Xenopus tropicalis: one gene and its partner. The protein of the gene in region 1 purifies or fractionates together with the protein of each later gene. This does not show direct contact. Links are inferred from orthologs where the notes say so. Each region holds a gene or a part of one and is shown in the gene's direction. Other genes may lie near its edges. The genes, in order: tnks2 and rnf146.

Region 1 (3,821 bases):
TATTTTTTCGATTTTCCTTTTGATGTGCTATCTGCCACTGTTAAAATAAACCTACCATTGAAATGATACTGTTCTGAGACTTTTCATTTCTTTGTCATTGGACAAACTTACAAAATCAGTGAGGGGTCAAATAATTATTTCCTCCACTGTATAGTAAACAATGATTTGTTCAGTTTTAATACATTGATGCTGCGTGGTTATATGACAGCCCTTTCTTATAATTCTAAGAAGGCTCCTAGCATTTCCTCAGAGCACCTGGACAGTTAATGTTAAGTCATTCACGGCCTAAGATGTTGAAATCCACTTTAAGATTAGGGCCCTATTTTGCAGTGCCCAAGTGTGAACAAGGTAGCTTGTGTAGGCACCTCACAGGAGAGGAGGTTGCACAATTAGATTGGGGTAGGGCATGTCCTGGAAACCTAGAACTTTTAAAGGAGAAGGAAAGGCTAAGTCACTTGGGGCTGCCAAAATGTTAGGCACCCCCAAGTGACTTCGAGCACTTACCTTGTACCCTGGGCTGGTGCCCCTGTTAGGAGAAAACAGCAGCAGCCCAGGGTACCTGTAGCGAGCGCTTCCTCCTTCCTCTCTCTTCTGCCGGCGAAATCTGTGGGCCGGCGCATGCGCAGTAGAGTGAAAAGCCGACTTTCTTGTTTAAGTTCGGCTTTTCACTCTACTGCGTATGCGCGCGCAAGCGAATAGGAAGTAGGAAGCGCTCGCTGCTACCCCGGGCTGGTGCTGTTCTCTTCGTACAGGGGCACCAGCCCGGGGTAAAAGGTAGGCGATCTAAGTCACTTGGGGGTGCCTAACATTTTGGCACCCCCAAGTGACTTAGCCTTTCCTTCTCCTTTAACTTCTGGTGCTACATTCAGCCACAGGTTTTCCCAGAAGGAAATGGCATTCATTTCAGCTATTTTTAAGGTGATTACTTTGCAGTGTTTAGACAGGCATTGGTCATCTGTTTCATTTTAAGTGTTAAGGATGCCCATTCAAAAATATCTGTTAGCCTGAATGGTTGGTATGAAGGATATAGATTTTTTTCTGCTTTCAAATGATCTATCTAATGCTGTTTCTGAAAGATGAAATCAAAACCAATTTATCATGTTCCGGTGCAGCTTTTTTTTTTTTCCTCATAATTCCAATGTAATTGCTAGTGCAAGGTTGTCAAGTGATATAACTAAAGGGAGTGCAGTTGAAAATTTTCAGTATTCCATTGATGTCACTATGCATAAAAATTACATCTGCACCCAATTTTGTAGACATTGGCTACCAGCAGCATTGGGCATTGGCGACTTCAGGGTTTCCTACAGTGGACTAGTTAGATTATTTAAAATACGTCAAGAGACCTTTGCAATTAACATAATCAGTTTTGCACATTGCTGGTTTAGTTTTCTGATGACACAAATGAGTTATGTATAGTATCTATGCAGCGATATAGATATATCACAAAATGCTGTATGTTCTATAGGCTTGATAACCTAATAAAAATTGTCACCTAAAAGAATAAGTAGATATTTACATTTGTTTTACCTTTATGTATCAAATTGTTTTTATAATTAATACAAATCAATTACATTTTTATATTTCTTTTTTTATTCAGATGAATTCAAAGGCCATTCATTGCTTCAAGCTGCCAGGGAAGCAGATCTAACACGTGTTAAAAAACATCTCTCCTTAGAGATTGTGAATTTCAAGCATCCTCAGACTCATGACACTGCTTTGGTAAGAAACCAAACCCAGTTGCATTGGTTTCTATGTAAATGTCATGTGCTTATATACTATGTATAATTGGGCACGTGTATGCAAGTTTATTTGGTTTTATAACTGTGTAAAAATCTTTGCCCATTTTTTTATCTCTTGCTTTGATAAGGACAGGATATCTGTGGCTGATGGAGGGGTAGAGTGTCTTCTGGACCCCAAAATATCTGTCTACCTACTGAACACACACAAATATCTCATTTGAATCTGAATCTCATTTGAAGTGGTTGCATGCTTTAAGTGTGTTAGACCTGTTATGAAGAATTGGCATCGTATATAAACTGATTTTACTCTTTGTACATGACGGATTTCTTGTTGCTACATTTTCTTATCGTGCATTGGCTGTGACTCTTTAATTTCTTCTACGACCAGAATGCTAGTTTGGCAAAACCTAGTGGCACATGCTAGGTTTCCTGTCCTTGTCTGGTTGCATTCTTGCTTACTTATATGTTGTTTTTACCTCATTGAGGTTGCCTTTATCTGGCTTCTTTAATTCTATTAACAGTAGCAGGACATGTTGTAGGGTAAATCCAAAGAGTAGGAGTCCTTAATATTGGTGTCCATTGCTCTAAAATGCACCCATCCTCTGTTTGAGCAGAAATATTACCAGGGCCCAAGCTATCCTGTTGAACTAGCAGAACAGCTTTTCAGCAATAATTTTTTTCCCTCTTCTTACAAATATGCATAGGTCATGTGTCTGCCCTTTCTTCCCAGCTTTGCAATACTCCAGGGAAAATGTCTGTCTTCAGTGTTCTCATGAAAATGAATTATCGCTAAAATTCTTAAACTGTTTTAAAGCTTTGTAGATGCCATATTGTAAGCATTTTTATATTCCTACTAATATATTTATGTTCTTTGATTAGTTAGGCATATACATTCCAAATTAACACTCATGTATAATAAAGGTTGAAGAAACATGAACGTTTTGAAAGGCAGACATATTGGCCAAGTGCATTTGCCCATAGCAACCAGTCATTGTTTAGTTTTAAACAACCTACTACTAGCTAGGAAATGAAGATGATGGTCCTATTGGTTGCTATGGACAACTCCCCTGGTGCAGAGTAGCACCAGTCTTATTAAATCAGCCCTCTTTTCTTTCAGTGTACCCCTAAAAGTTTGTAATGGTTTAGACGTCTCATAACCATACCAAAAAAAATGATGCTGCATATATTGTTTGAGTGCTGATGTTTAGAATGTTATAGATTTTTTTTTTCTTATACATGAAAATGTCGGTCATCAATAGATTTTACAATGTATTTATTTTCGTTTTCCAGCATTGTGCTGCTTCATCACCCTATCCAAAGAGGAAGCAAGTGTGTGAACTTCTCTTTAGAAAAGGAGCAAATGTTAGTGAGAAGACCAAAGAGTAAGTTTATATTCTCTTTTTTAAAATCTTTCTTAAGGATCTCAAAATTGTTATTTTATTATTATTCATTTATTTCTTTTTTTCTCTAAAGCTTTTTGACGCCTCTCCATGTTGCTTCAGACAAAGCTCATAATGATATTGTGGAGGTGCTGATTAAACACGAAGCCAAGGTATAATTTTTCTCGTATTTGATGCTCCTTTTTAAGTTCTTACATTCCTGTGTGAATTGTTAAGTCACTGTAAAGACTATATTACTTTTATTTCCACATCTTTTGGAGTGAAGCTTTGCTATTTTTAGCTTAGATGAGAATGTTCTGAAATATTTCCTTGTTTAGATTCCTGTGTTCCCATGCATATGTAAAATGCCATAAATTCATTTGTAAGAAAACTACAGCAAGTCAGCATGAAGATATTTAGCCATTTTAGCCATTTTCATCGCATTGCAGGGAAACTATTGAATAATAGTATTTTTCGAACCATGTATTTTTTAAAATTGACACTTCTTTCTGTTTACCAGCCAAAATTATCAGCACTGTTGAAAATTGAGTTATGTGCCATTATTGGTGTTTTGTCTTGAGTGGGGGTGTTTCTGAATCCCCATTTAGCCTTCATTCTCCCTAAGGGATTTAATTTATTTCTTCAATATTTTCAGTGTTCTAAAACAGACAAAATGTTTTCTTCAGTCCCAATGTGAATGCTT
Region 2 (4,391 bases), on another chromosome or scaffold:
TTTATGGTGTTGTTGCTCCCAATATTCTTTTAGACAACCTCTGAGGCCGTCACAGAGCAGCTGTATTTGTACTGACATTAGATTACACACAGGTGCACTCTATTTAGTCATTAGCACTCATCAGGCAATGTCTATGGGCAACTGACTGCACTCAGACCAAAGGGGGCTGAATAATTACGCACACCCCACTTTGCACTTATTTATTTGTAAAAAATGTTTGGAATCATGTATGATTTTCGTTCCACTTCTCACGTGTACACCACTTTGTATTGGTCTTTCACGTGGAATTCCAATAAAACTGATTCATGTTTGTGGCTGTAATGTGACAAAATGTGGAAATGTTCAAGGGGGCCGAATACTTTTGCAAGCCACTGTAGAACCTGTGCACTTTGGAGTTAGGACCAGAGTAAAAGATTACTTTAGGATATTTTAAGTCTTCTGAATGTCACTGTTGTCACTAAATTGTAAAAATATAAACTAAAGATTACTGTTGGCAATTCAAAAAATGGCCACAGGATCCTCTTATGTAAAAAAAAAAAAAAAGCCTAAAAACTTGTGAAAAGTCTTGCATTAGTTTACGAAAAAATAAAACCTGGAAAACTGACACCACCGTGAACAAATGAGCCTAAAACGTAAAGATTACTGCTGCTCTATTTCACCCAATGTCTTCTCCTAAATAACCAGTTTTGTCCCTAAATTGTAATTGTTGCCCTTACTTAAAAAAAAACTAAACAAAAAAAAAACAAAACATTGGGACCTTCACCTGGCCCTAGTTTAAAAAAAAAAAAAAAAAAAAGACCCTTTCATTGCTAGTCAAATTGAAGAGGCACTGATGGCAGCATGTTTGATAAGAAATTATTTTTCTTTGTTACCAGGTTCATTAAAGCAGAGCCAAAAAAAACCGTTTTAGGTAAAACAAAGACTTTGCAACACAATATCCACCTAAAAAATAAAACAGAAGCCGTGAAAAGAATAAAATCATTTGTCAACCCAGCAAATAGGGTTTGTTCACTGACACAAGTGTAAGTTCTAATAAGAAAAAACAAATACTTAGTTGTGCCTAAATATAGGCAGCATGCATAGTAGGCTACCACCACGAAATGACTCTTTCTTTCTATAACTGCGAAAACTACTAGCTGTGAAGCAAACGTTTGCAAACACGCTTCCTTGTATTACTAGCGCCTTATAATTGTGAAACAAGGAAGTAAGTTGTCACCCCTCTACGTGCCGCGTCACTGCGCTTATATACGTGTGGTAGTGACGCCACAGTCTCGCGAGATGACAATTTTGACGTCGGGATTAGCTTTCCGGCAGGAGCCAAGGAGCTGGATATTAATGGCGTTGTTGGACGATTAAACGGCAATCTGGTTCTGCGGGCTGTGTTAAAAATATCGAGAGCGTCCCGCGAGAAGCGGGACTGTTGGGCGGTATGTCAGGTTGCGCTTTTACTTCTAAATTATTTATTCGAAGTTCTCATTCCCATTGAATTTAGGCCGAGTGTATTGTGATTTCTCAGAAGCTTGCATTTCTTCACTGTAGGGTGTCTGGCACAAATACCTAAGGCCTCATAAAAAATGCATGTTTTATTGTATGTACAGCGCTTTCCAAAAGGGGTGAGCCTTTAGAGCGATCTTAAGACACTGAGCTTCTTAAATATTTCAATTAAACAAGTGAACGTATCATTTTCCCCATATAGTGCTAAAGAGAGGGGCGAAACCACAGCTGCTTTATACAGCTCAAATGCTCTCTTCTTTTTATTACTTTATAGAGTATATACTGTATTAAACCTTGACTTTTTGCAATACGGAAAATTGAACATGGGCTTCATGTCAAGAAGAAACATTCTATACTGTATTAAATTGTGTTCCAAATAATCATGTCTCATCTGCATCTAGTTAAAGGGATACTGTCATGAATTTTATGTTGTACTTTTTATTACCAAATTACACTGTTTACATAAAATATAATTCAATTCACCATTTAAAATTGTATTCTTGAACCAACAAATGTATCTTTTTTTAGTTGTAATATTGGTGTATAGGCAGCCATCTTAGTGCATTGTGCCTGATTCTGAGCTTTCAGAAAGACCCAGTGCTACACATTAGAACTGCTTTCAGATAACCTACTCCCATGTAACTGGAGGAGTCCCAAGCCGGACGTAGATTTCTTACTATTGAGTGCTATTCTGATATATACTGGCAGCTGCTATCTTGCTGCCTTCCCATTGTTCTGCTGATCGGCTGCTGGGGGGGGGGGTGATATCACTCCAGCTTGCAGCTCAGCAGTAAAGTGTGACTGAAGTTTATCAGAGCACAGGTCACATTGCTGTAGCACCCTGGGAAATGAAGAATATGGATAGAACCATGTGAAATTTCAAAATTAAATATAAAAAAATCTTTTTTTGAAAAAGTGATTTCAATGCAGGATTCTGCTGGAGAAACCCCGTTAACTGATGCGTTTTGAAAAAAACATGTTTTCTCATGACAGTATTCCTTTAACCCCCCTCACCTCTACCAAACACACACACAAATCACATTTTTTTTTTTCATTCAATTAAAATACTTTAATAAAGCTCCCCCAAAAAGGCTAACTTGAAAAGATGCTTTTTGAGTTCCCATTCATCTACTATGATCTACTGCTAGTTTAAGGAATTTAAGTTTCAGGGCACAGCAGTTACTTTGGGGTGTATTGCAGCTGTTTCTGAGAGAGATTCCATAAAATATCCTAAGTATATAAATTTCCAGTGGGTGGCTGGCTGGCTTCTGAAAAGCCCTGCTGAACTTTTTCTCCTGTTCAATAACAATAGAACTCTAACTTTATGTCTTCCAAGGGACTGTCAAAGTGGCGCAAATGGTTTAACATGGAAAAAATGGTATCAATTCCAGGAAAACATAAAATCGAGGTTCTATTTCTCATCTGGATATAGCACCTGAGAAATGGAACTGAAATAAAGATCTGTAAACAATAATAACACCTATGCTGCCAGTTTTTCTTCTGTTCATCCGTTTTTAAACTGGAACAATTCAATTGTTTATCATAGACTGGTTTTCAGTTTCTCTAATCAACCTCATAAAACCTTTTAATTTTTTTACCAACAGGATGGCTGGTTGTGGTGAAGTTAGCCACTCTGCTAACATGCTGCCCACTAATAAGAAACTGGTTGAGCCTTGTCCCAACAGTGCTCCTTCATTGTCTGTTCCTGAATGTGCTATATGCCTGCAGACCTGTGTGCATCCAGTTAGTCTACCTTGTAAACACATATTCTGCTACTTGTGTGTGAAGGGGGCTTCTTGGCTTGGAAGGCGTTGTGCTTTGTGCAGACAAGAGATTCCTGAGGACTTTCTTGATAAGCCTACATTACTGTCACCTGAGGAACTGAAATCTGCAAGTAGGGGAAATGGAGAATATGCATGGTATTATGAGGGAAGAAATGGTTGGTGGCAGTATGATGAGCGGACAAGCAGAGAGCTTGAAGATGCCTTCACAAAAGGCAAAAAGAGCACAGAGATGTTGATAGCTGGCTTCCTCTATGTAGCAGACTTGGAGAACATGGTTCAATACAGGCGTAATGAGCATGGACGGCGTAGAAAAATCAAGAGAGATATTGTAGATATACCAAAAAAAGGAGTTGCTGGGCTAAGGCTTGAATGTGATGCAGCAAATGTAAATCTAGCGCGAGAGAGCTCAGCAGATGGTGCGGACAACATGGCAGCACTTGGAGCTTCTTCAAGTCAACCTACACCTGTGTTACCAACAAGGCTGCACACATCCCTCAGTACAACTGCAAGTCATGCCCTTTCACATTCTGATGTTACTTCTTCATTGGAGAACTCCTTTGCTCAGCTTCAGATTGGCGATCCTGTGATAGGCAGGAATAATATAGGTGAAGGTGAAGAAGGACAGCCTCTAATTAACGCTAGAATGCCAGCCCCCAGTGCTTTGCTGGAAGAATCAGAGCCAAGTGACAGTAATGACCATGGAAGTCCTACATTACAACATAATTCACTTCTTGTGCCACAAAGTAATAGGCTCCCATTTGGTAATCCCTGATTGTACCCCACCTGCATAGGCACAAAGTACCAGTGTAAGGTCTAAAAGACCTGATGGACAGTGCACAGTCACAGAAGTCTAAAGCAGTCAGCCAGAGAAAGAAGAGCAATGTCATCCTTGTTATTTCCTTAGTATGTTTTAGACTTGAGCTCAGACTTAGAATATTTGTTTAAAAAAATTATTTTTACCATTAACATGAAGTATCTTGCTCTTTGGCCGAAAGACCTGTTTATATATAATTATAATTAATGGGGAAAAAGAGGCTGTGGCCTAATAGCTGTTTGCTAAATGGGAATGGCATACATTGACATTTTACTTTGTGGTGCTAAACCAAAAGGTAC

Evidence for each region.
Region 2: the proteins of tnks2 (region 1) and rnf146 purify together in Homo sapiens (co-immunoprecipitation; 3 studies listed by BioGRID and IntAct, with this or other methods). This does not show direct contact. The link is inferred for Xenopus tropicalis from reciprocal best matches to the Homo sapiens genes TNKS2 and RNF146.

Annotation. Positions count from the first base shown.
Region 1 is NC_030683.2:37,227,464-37,231,284, forward strand, and holds part of tnks2 (tankyrase-2), read left to right. Parts: intron 1-1,597; coding exon 1,598-1,719; intron 1,720-3,029; coding exon 3,030-3,121; intron 3,122-3,212; coding exon 3,213-3,291; intron 3,292-3,821. UniProt on the Homo sapiens protein: Poly-ADP-ribosyltransferase involved in various processes such as Wnt signaling pathway, telomere length and vesicle trafficking.
Region 2 is NC_030681.2:67,900,053-67,904,443, forward strand, and holds the start of rnf146 (E3 ubiquitin-protein ligase rnf146), read left to right. Parts: upstream 1-1,351; 5' UTR 1,352-1,427; intron 1,428-3,098; 5' UTR 3,099-3,099; coding exon 3,100-4,050; 3' UTR 4,051-4,391. UniProt on the Homo sapiens protein: E3 ubiquitin-protein ligase that specifically binds poly-ADP-ribosylated (PARsylated) proteins and mediates their ubiquitination and subsequent degradation. May regulate many important biological processes, such as cell survival and DNA damage response.